Arabidopsis thaliana: one gene and its partner. The protein of the gene in region 2 interacts with the protein of the main gene of each other region in a pairwise test. Each region holds a gene or a part of one and is shown on either strand. Other genes may lie near its edges.

Region 1 (4,282 bases), on a different chromosome or scaffold from region 2:
CGGGACGAGCTACTTCACATGGTCAAAAGCTTAAACCCAAAGCTTGTCACGGTCGTTGAACAAGACGTGAACACAAACACTTCACCGTTCTTTCCCAGATTCATAGAGGCTTACGAATACTACTCAGCAGTTTTCGAGTCTCTAGACATGACACTTCCAAGAGAAAGCCAAGAGAGGATGAATGTAGAAAGACAGTGTCTCGCTAGAGACATAGTCAACATTGTTGCTTGCGAAGGAGAAGAACGGATAGAGAGATACGAGGCTGCGGGAAAATGGAGAGCAAGGATGATGATGGCTGGATTCAATCCAAAACCAATGAGTGCTAAAGTAACCAACAATATACAAAACCTGATAAAGCAACAATATTGCAATAAGTACAAGCTTAAAGAAGAAATGGGTGAGCTCCATTTTTGCTGGGAGGAGAAAAGCTTAATCGTTGCTTCAGCTTGGAGGTAAGATAAGTGACAAGAGCATATAGTCTTTATGTTTCATAAAACATAATTATGTTTTTACTGTAATCTTGGGTTATTGTGTAACTGGTTAAATCATCTCCATGTATTATTACCAGAGGTTAGGGGTGATCACAGGTACTAAAAGCTAATCTAACACTTATGGAAGAATTTTTCTTTCTTTTTTTTCCCTATTATATAAAAATAATTAGAGTTTTGGTTCTAAACCTATTTGCTAAGTGTGAATGAGTCTTTACATGTTCATATTTCAGTTCAAATGGTTAAATTTGTTAAGGTTCTCACTTACTATTAGGCTTATCAGTTTTAACTCTTAAACTCAAAAGCTCATTAGATCCATAAAACTCACAAAAGGCATCGTCATTCTTCATCAATCACTAGTGTATCAGTACGAAACTAGGAAACGTTACATTTTTCAGCATCATTTTTTTTACATTCCAACGAAACGAAAAGGAAAACTCTAGTTAAGCAGAGTTAATACGAAATCACATAACCAAATCATCCTCAAAAGCTCTTTTAAACTTGAAGGTCTTGCTTTCCATTAACCACATTCTGCTTCTTCTCATCATCTTTCATCTCCACTGACTTCTCATCTTTCTGAGCATCTGCAGATTTCTCTCCTTTGTTTCCACAGTAGATGAAGTATAGTATCAATTGCAGTGTCCCTAATGCACATCCAAACCCATTTGGGATCTTCGCAACAACAAAAACCCAAAGTTAGAAACAAAGTTTTGATATTTACCAAAGAAAACAACACAAGAAGGAGAAATTGTAACTTACTGCAACAAAAGGGTCACGACCGATTAGACCATAGACGAACCACGAAGTACCACAGAGGAAGACAAAGAGTGACAAAAAGAATGGCATAAACTCTACACTCTTCGTCTTTACCACCAATCTCTGTAAATCAATGAACCAAACACAAAATTTAACAAAATGAATCCAAAAGTAAAGAGTAGAACTTTAAAAAGATCCAATCCTGAGTTTGCTTACCATGATGGAGAGTGGAGAAGCGTACATGATGATGGAGAAAACAGTAGCTGCGAGACCACAAAAGAGTTTTCTACCGTTTCCTTGAAGAGCAAAGAGAGAGACGAGAGCTACTGTTGCGAATACAGCCAAAACGCAAGAGAAGATACCAAAGATCTTAATTTTCTCCTTCTTTGGTGCGTAGAAAAGAAAGATTAACACGTAGACTGTTTCGATCACTGCTCCTGTGCCATTGATTGTGCTCACAAGTGTGTTGTCTTTTGACACAAAGGGAAGTCCATACCTGAAAAAAACAGAGAAACGCAGAAACAGAGGAAGTAAGAAACAGAGCTATACTCTAATGGAAGATTAAAAACGTAAAAGAGGGAATTTTTTTTACCAAGCAGAGAGGAGACAGTTGAGGAGAGTCATTGGATAAGGGATACCAGAGAATTGTTCAGTGGATTTGTTCTTGATGATTCTCTTGAATGTTATCCTAATTTCATTCACGAACAAAAAAGAATCTTGAGTTTTTTTTTTCCAGAACAGAACAACAAGAAATCGAAAGAATCATAAATCGGTTCACTATAGAAGAGAGAAGTGATACGTACGAAGGAGCCAAGAAAAGAAACAGAGCAGTTGCATTTCCTGTAAAAAGTAGAAAAACGACAAAAACGGATTAGTAGTACTCTCAGTGATTTCTCATGGAAGAAAGACGAAGAAGATAGAAAGACAGAGAGAGAGGTTGAGGAAATGAGTTGCTACCGAAAACGCCGAAGATAGTGTGAGCGATGTTCATCTTTTGATCTCAAAGGTGGCTAAAGATTCTTCTTTTTTTCTTGTTCGTAAGCTGAGAGAGAAAGTGAGAGAATATGAGCTAAGTGTTTTCTATCGGCAAGCGTATATATATCGAGATTCAGCGTGTGTTAACCGCTTCACTGTGGAACACCAATAATTACAAAATTAATAAAAGTATAATAAATTATGAAATAATGGTATTAAATATTAAATTTTAAAAATACATGGTTCTGTTATTAATTTTTGTAGTATGAATAAAATTTGAAAAAAAAGTTATGGTTAAGAACTAATGTTTTGAGAAAACCTAAGTTTTAAATTTGAGTTAATTGAGTTATTTCTTATATAAAAAAAAAAAAGTTCCCATGATTTTGAATTCTAGTGTATATATACAGATTTTTTCTTGATACCAAATTAATTTTTGGAACGAGGTTTTTTATCTGTTACTTGTTTTTACGTCCTCGAGAGGTGAACCTGACTCTTTGGATCGACGTTTCTTTTGTAGATAGTTATAGAGATATGGTTAAATACTTAAAAATGAAATAAACACCTAAAAAGAGCAATGTCTTTTCTTCTTTTGTTTTTTGTTTGATACTAAAAGTAGCTCTGAACAAGCCAGAGTGTTCTGGGCTTGACGTTGATATGTGACTCGAGGCCCGAGCCTGTATTTTCTGCGGGGCAGTGGCTAGTGGTTCATCTTCTCCATGATGTGTTACTTTTTTTTTTTCGTTGCCCTCTTTAATAGAGATTCTAGATAAAATTTGACAGTTTAGGAAGTTTCTGGTTACATAAGCGAAACCAAACCTAACAAACTGTCAAGTTTATTTAAGGGCACCAATAAGTTTCACTAAATTTCAGTTATTCTATACCGTTGAACCACAGCCGCAGGATATACTTTTTAGTATAGTGAGTGATCTTTTTGGAATGTTTTCTAGTCACCACGAGTTAGCTTATTCAGCTTTACCCAAACCATATCGGTTCATTCATGATCATTTTAACCGGAGTAAAACCAACAAAAAGAACATTAGGTTATGATTGTGAGGCTAAGGTTAATGGATCAACGTCGGTAGATGAGTTGATTATTGAAGATGACCAAATTTGTTGAATTTTTTTTTTTTGTAGGAAAAAATCATGAAATTGGCTGTTCTCGCGTACGTGTTCATTATATATTTTTAATACGTCTAGTTCAAGAAAACAATTTAGCTATGTACGCAGTATTTAGCTAAAATTCAAGAACCTATCATAAGTCCACTGCAAATCTAATTTAGTTTATGATACCGTATTTCATCAAATGGCAGATTTTTATCAACCCATTTTTTCTTTTTTGTCGTTGGCTACATCAATATTTGTTGAGATTTTGATATTTACCTAGAACAATGTGATCTAATTACTATATGAAGGCAAAACCAAAATTTAGCACAGTAACATGATTACTAGACTGCTAGATGATTCAGTCTGCATACTTTTATGCTCTCTCATCTTTTGTGAGTTGAAAACACCTTTTAACTTGTTATCCACAATAGTCTTACTTTTAAATCCGAATCTAAAATGCAGAAGCTTGAAAATCTTTGGATGTGGACGAACAAATGCCATTATATATTAAGCTTTCACTAGGTAGGCACAAATTATCTGATAATTGTAATAAATTATCACCAAAAACAAAGAAAATCGAGGATTGAGGTTTGGTTTGAGTCCGACGTCAATGATTGAAAGCAAAAGAGTACTGAACTAGAGAGAAAAGGAAAAGACTATCAGAAGAGTGAAATGATGATGACGTTGGTATCAGCAAGCACCACATGGCATGGCACAACTCTTCACACGAGTCACGTAGCTCTTTCCTTTTCCAGACATATTCGACCTTCCTTGTCCAAGTTGTCCTCTCTTTCAAATTTGTTTTTTTAATAAGAAATTGGACCACTATTGTGTACTTTTTGGTTAGAAGGATCGTTAATATCGAAAAAATCAGAATGAATGGAACAAGCGGAATAAATAATTAACATTTTCTCGTTTTATTAAATTTTAGTGTATTCATTCATTTTCGATTTTATTTT
Region 2 (4,142 bases):
GATTGTTTGAGTCTGTAAATTGTCTTCTTTTTAACCGAACAAGATTAGTAAGATCTTTGCCATTTTGATGTAATCTATGAGCACATGACCATGAGCTTTTTGTATATGCAAACCTTTGTATCAAGTTCCCCATGAAAAATGCATCCTTCAAATCAGTTTAGTTGAGTGGCCACTTCTTGTTCATCGTAACTTAGAAGAATTTATTCATTATGATTGTAATATCTTTCCCATGTACTATAACCACCGATTGATCGTATGGATCACTCTTTGATTTCATGAGAGAGGTTGGGTGTTCAGTGGTGATATATATGCTTCGAGAAGGATAATAACGTTGGGCTAATTAATGTTTAGATTTTAAGATTAAAGGTTTATGAATCTCAACGAGTCTTAATACGATAATAAGGGTTTAGGATGTTGGCAGGACCGGCTCAATGAATTCAGAACAAATCTTAAAAATTGGGGTTTTTATACTAAAAACAAAAAATTTAGACTCTCTTTTATGTTAAGAAAATCTTTAAAATTAGTCCTTTCATACTAAAAAAAATTTGGACCCTTTTTATATTGAAAAAATCTTTGAAATTGTTTTTTTCTTTACACTAAAAAGGTAAATTTGGTCCCTTAAATTTATCCCAAAAAATTTAGATCCTGCACATTGTTCCACTTGCACATGTCAAGAGCCGCCCCTAGATGTTGGGGTTGGAGCTTAGATTTCACGACACAGAGGTTAGATTGTTTGATATGAAAAGATAAGTCTTCATGTGAAGAAGAAGAACAGTATAAGGTAAACACAAAAGTTTTTGAAGAATGTTAAAGTTTTCAAAAGCTTACTAATGTAAAAATTAGCTTGAAAAAAGAAGTTTGTTTTTATTTTGGGTTAAAGTAACATAGCTAGTAACGTGATACAATATGTTGTGGCTGACACATATCAACATTGACTGACTTAACTTAGACTAAAGACGTACATTTTTGTAACTTAAACTTGTAAGTTTTTATGTTACTATATCGTGTACGTACAACGGGAAGAGACGTACATTTTTGTAATCTTGCAAGGAGTTTGATTCATATAGCAAAACACGTGAAGGAAAAGAAGAGTGATAAACGAAGCCATCTTGAAACACTTTCCCTTTCGGGGGAAAAGATCAAAAACGAAAAGAAAGTAGAACAACACACTCGTTCATAGAAAATGGAAAAGTAAGGTACATAAGACAAAGCATCGAGCATGTGTCGCGGACTGTGGAGAACGGTTGGGTCCCATATTCTGCTTGACGTGCCGTTATTCTCTTTTCTTTGTTAGCATAACAATGATCAAACTTATAAGATGACATTGCATATAAAGTTGTAAAAATACGCAAAAAATTGTTTGAATATATATTGTTTGAGAATGAACGATATATATATGTGATGAATACGTTATAAAATATGAATGAAAATCTTTAGTAAAAGTACGAGTATAATATTTGCTTATATCCCGTAAATCTGACATTTTTTAGTAATGTTTCTTTATTATCGAAACTATATGTTTCACTAACATAAATGTTTCAGTAATATTTGTTGTCAAGAAAATAAAAATAAAAATAATCGAGTTACATCAGACCCAATTTCATGATTTCCTCGCATTAGTTATCTAAAATATATAAAACGTAAGTTTCCTTTTTCTTTTTGAGAATACAGGATAAAAAAACTATAAATCAAATAATGAACATACTGCACTTTTATTTTTGCAATTTCGTTAGCACCTAGTAATTAACTAACTAATATATAGACACTTTGTTTTGGTTATAATTAACAACATTACGAGTACAATCAATTTGATTGCTACAGAAAAAGAGATATATAGGGGGTCATACACGTAAATTTGCATAAATCATTGAAAAGAATATTGGGAGTGATTGTCGTAAACCGGAATACTCATTTGGCCTGCGGTGACAGTAATTATTTTGACTCCACCGTCAAAGACAAAGACCGCACTCATTCTCTCTCGTTGGTCGAGTCAAACACATTTAAAACTGTTCCTTCGTTTCACGCTCTTCTCGTGTTCTGCTTCGGTTACAACTTCTCTTCTATCCAATACTTCCAAATCTCCACTTCACAATAAGAACCCATTATTGATTTCTCTACAAGTTATACATTACAAGAAAAAAGATGGGAAACTGTCAAGCAGTGGATACAGCGAGAGTGGTGATACAACACCCAAATGGGAAAGAAGAAAAGTTAAGTTGTCCAGTTTCTGCAAGTTATGTGATGAAGATGAATCCTGGCCACTGTGTTTCTCTCCTCATCTCTACCACCGCTCTCTCGTCAGCATCTTCCGGTCATGGAGGGCCTCTTAGGCTCACGAGGATCAAGCTCCTTCGTCCCACGGATACGCTTGTTCTCGGCCACGTCTATAGACTCATTACCACCAAAGGTATATATATTAGAGTAACATGCCTAAATCTACTCCAACATTTCAACTAACAATAATTCTACTCCAACTCTATATTCTTGCATCTCGATTACATATCTCGTAATTGAATTTGAACTATATATTTATTAGTCCGTTTGATAAATATGTTACATATATCTCGTAAGTTGCAACCCTAGGAAATGAATGAGCTATTTCCGCATAGTTAGCATTTGATTTTCTCAAACTATTTGTAGGCGCTTTAGAAAACTTACTTAACCGTACTTATACTTATGTTAAAATAAACACTCTCTTAAAAGTTATATTTATATACGTTTTTGGGGTCTAATCTACAAATTTTGATACTATTTGGGGTGAAATTCAGAGGTTATGAAGGGTTTAATGGCCAAAAAATGTTCGAAGTTGAAGAAAGAAAGTAAAGGCTCGGATGATAAGCTAGAGATGGTGAAAGCAATAAACTCTACTAAGCTTGACAATGAAGATCAGGTAATATGTGATTACAAAGATTACCATGTTTAATTATAGTGATAATTGGTTTTAACTTGGATGAAAAACGTCTATAGCTGCAAATGAAGAAACAGGAGAAAGAAAGGTCAAGAATCTCAAGATCATGGCAGCCATCATTACAAAGCATATCGGAAGGAGGATCAAGCTGAGCAAATTCTAAAACTTTGGGGAATATTAAAGAGAAGCTTCAGAATTTAAGGATATAGTTTGGAAAATATGAAGGCATGTGAGTGGCTAATGACAAAAGCTGGTCCTTTGGAGTATGTGATATTAAAGTGAAAAAATTCGAAAGCAATCATTCAGTTTTTTTTGACTGAAGAAGACTCATTACTTCTTCTAGTAGAATAATACAAAAATTATCAAAAGTTAGCGTTACAAACGTAACCGAAAGCATCGAGCGTGCTTGAAGCTGATCATGTATTAGATAATTGATCCAATGTACTCCAAAGGAGTATTATTAAAACATCTAAAAATTAAAAGAGAAACGAAAAAAGTATGTACAATTAACGAGGATTTGAACGGCGGAAAATTTTTGTCGCTAATCCCTCGCTTATATACAACAGATTTTGAAGATAGACATATCATATCATTGCAGTCTTATGTCCGTTGCAAAATTGTGATGACTAAAAATTGGTAACCAATGTTATAGTCTCTTTTATTTCTTACTGACTCCATCAAAATCTTGCTTGTAAACTTTGGACACTATTTCGAAAAGCAAAAACGTATTAATTTTGGAATTATTAAAACATTAATAGAATATTTAATATGTATAAATCAATAGAATACATTAAACTAATAAATAAATAATACAAAATATGAATTTTAACCATACAAAAAATCTCAACTATAATTTTAAAACCCCTCTAATAGCTAAAACTGTAAAACATATACTGAGTTGGTCTCTGATATTGCTCATAACCGACCGACCTAACCTAACCACACACGGGATACGCTCGATGTTCCCATTCTCCACGGTACTCCAACACTGGCATACAATACAAAACATTGAAGGAGACAGTAATGCCACGTGCACGGCTCTGCACCATAAAATTTAACGCCTCTGATTTAAAACACCACACATTGACAAATTGACATAACCAAAGCTACATAGAGAAAAAACACCAAAAATCAAAATTCCATCAAAGGGGCTTTTAAAATTTTGGACAAGAACAAAAAAAAAAGAAAAATGGCAACGAGAGGAGCTGTTGCTGCTGCTGCATCCACAATATGG

The links.
Region 1: the proteins of AT5G50090 (region 2) and SWEET1 interact in a protein complementation assay, tested with the Arabidopsis thaliana proteins (one large-scale study listed by BioGRID).

Annotation. Positions count from the first base shown.
Region 1 is NC_003070.9:7,511,047-7,515,328, forward strand, and holds SWEET1 (Nodulin MtN3 family protein), read right to left. Parts: upstream 2,436-4,282; 5' UTR 2,236-2,435; coding exon 2,202-2,235; intron 2,085-2,201; coding exon 2,048-2,084; intron 1,933-2,047; coding exon 1,837-1,932; intron 1,741-1,836; coding exon 1,461-1,740; intron 1,368-1,460; coding exon 1,248-1,367; coding exon of another isoform or gene 1,206-1,247; exon of another isoform or gene 1,164-1,205; intron 1,161-1,163; coding exon 984-1,160; 3' UTR 704-983; downstream 1-703. Other genes in the region: SCL1 (SCARECROW-like 1), read left to right, coding at 1-456. UniProt on the Arabidopsis thaliana protein: Mediates both low-affinity uptake and efflux of sugar across the plasma membrane. Can transport glucose, and, to a lower extent, mannose, fructose and galactose.
Region 2 is NC_003076.8:20,367,819-20,371,960, forward strand, and holds AT5G50090 (D-ribose-binding periplasmic protein), read left to right. Parts: upstream 1-1,838; 5' UTR 1,839-2,142; coding exon 2,143-2,407; intron 2,408-2,768; coding exon 2,769-2,890; coding exon of another isoform or gene 2,891-2,923; exon of another isoform or gene 2,924-2,967; coding exon 2,968-3,060; 3' UTR 3,061-3,573; downstream 3,574-4,142. Other genes in the region: AT5G50100 (Putative thiol-disulfide oxidoreductase DCC), read left to right, coding at 4,098-4,142.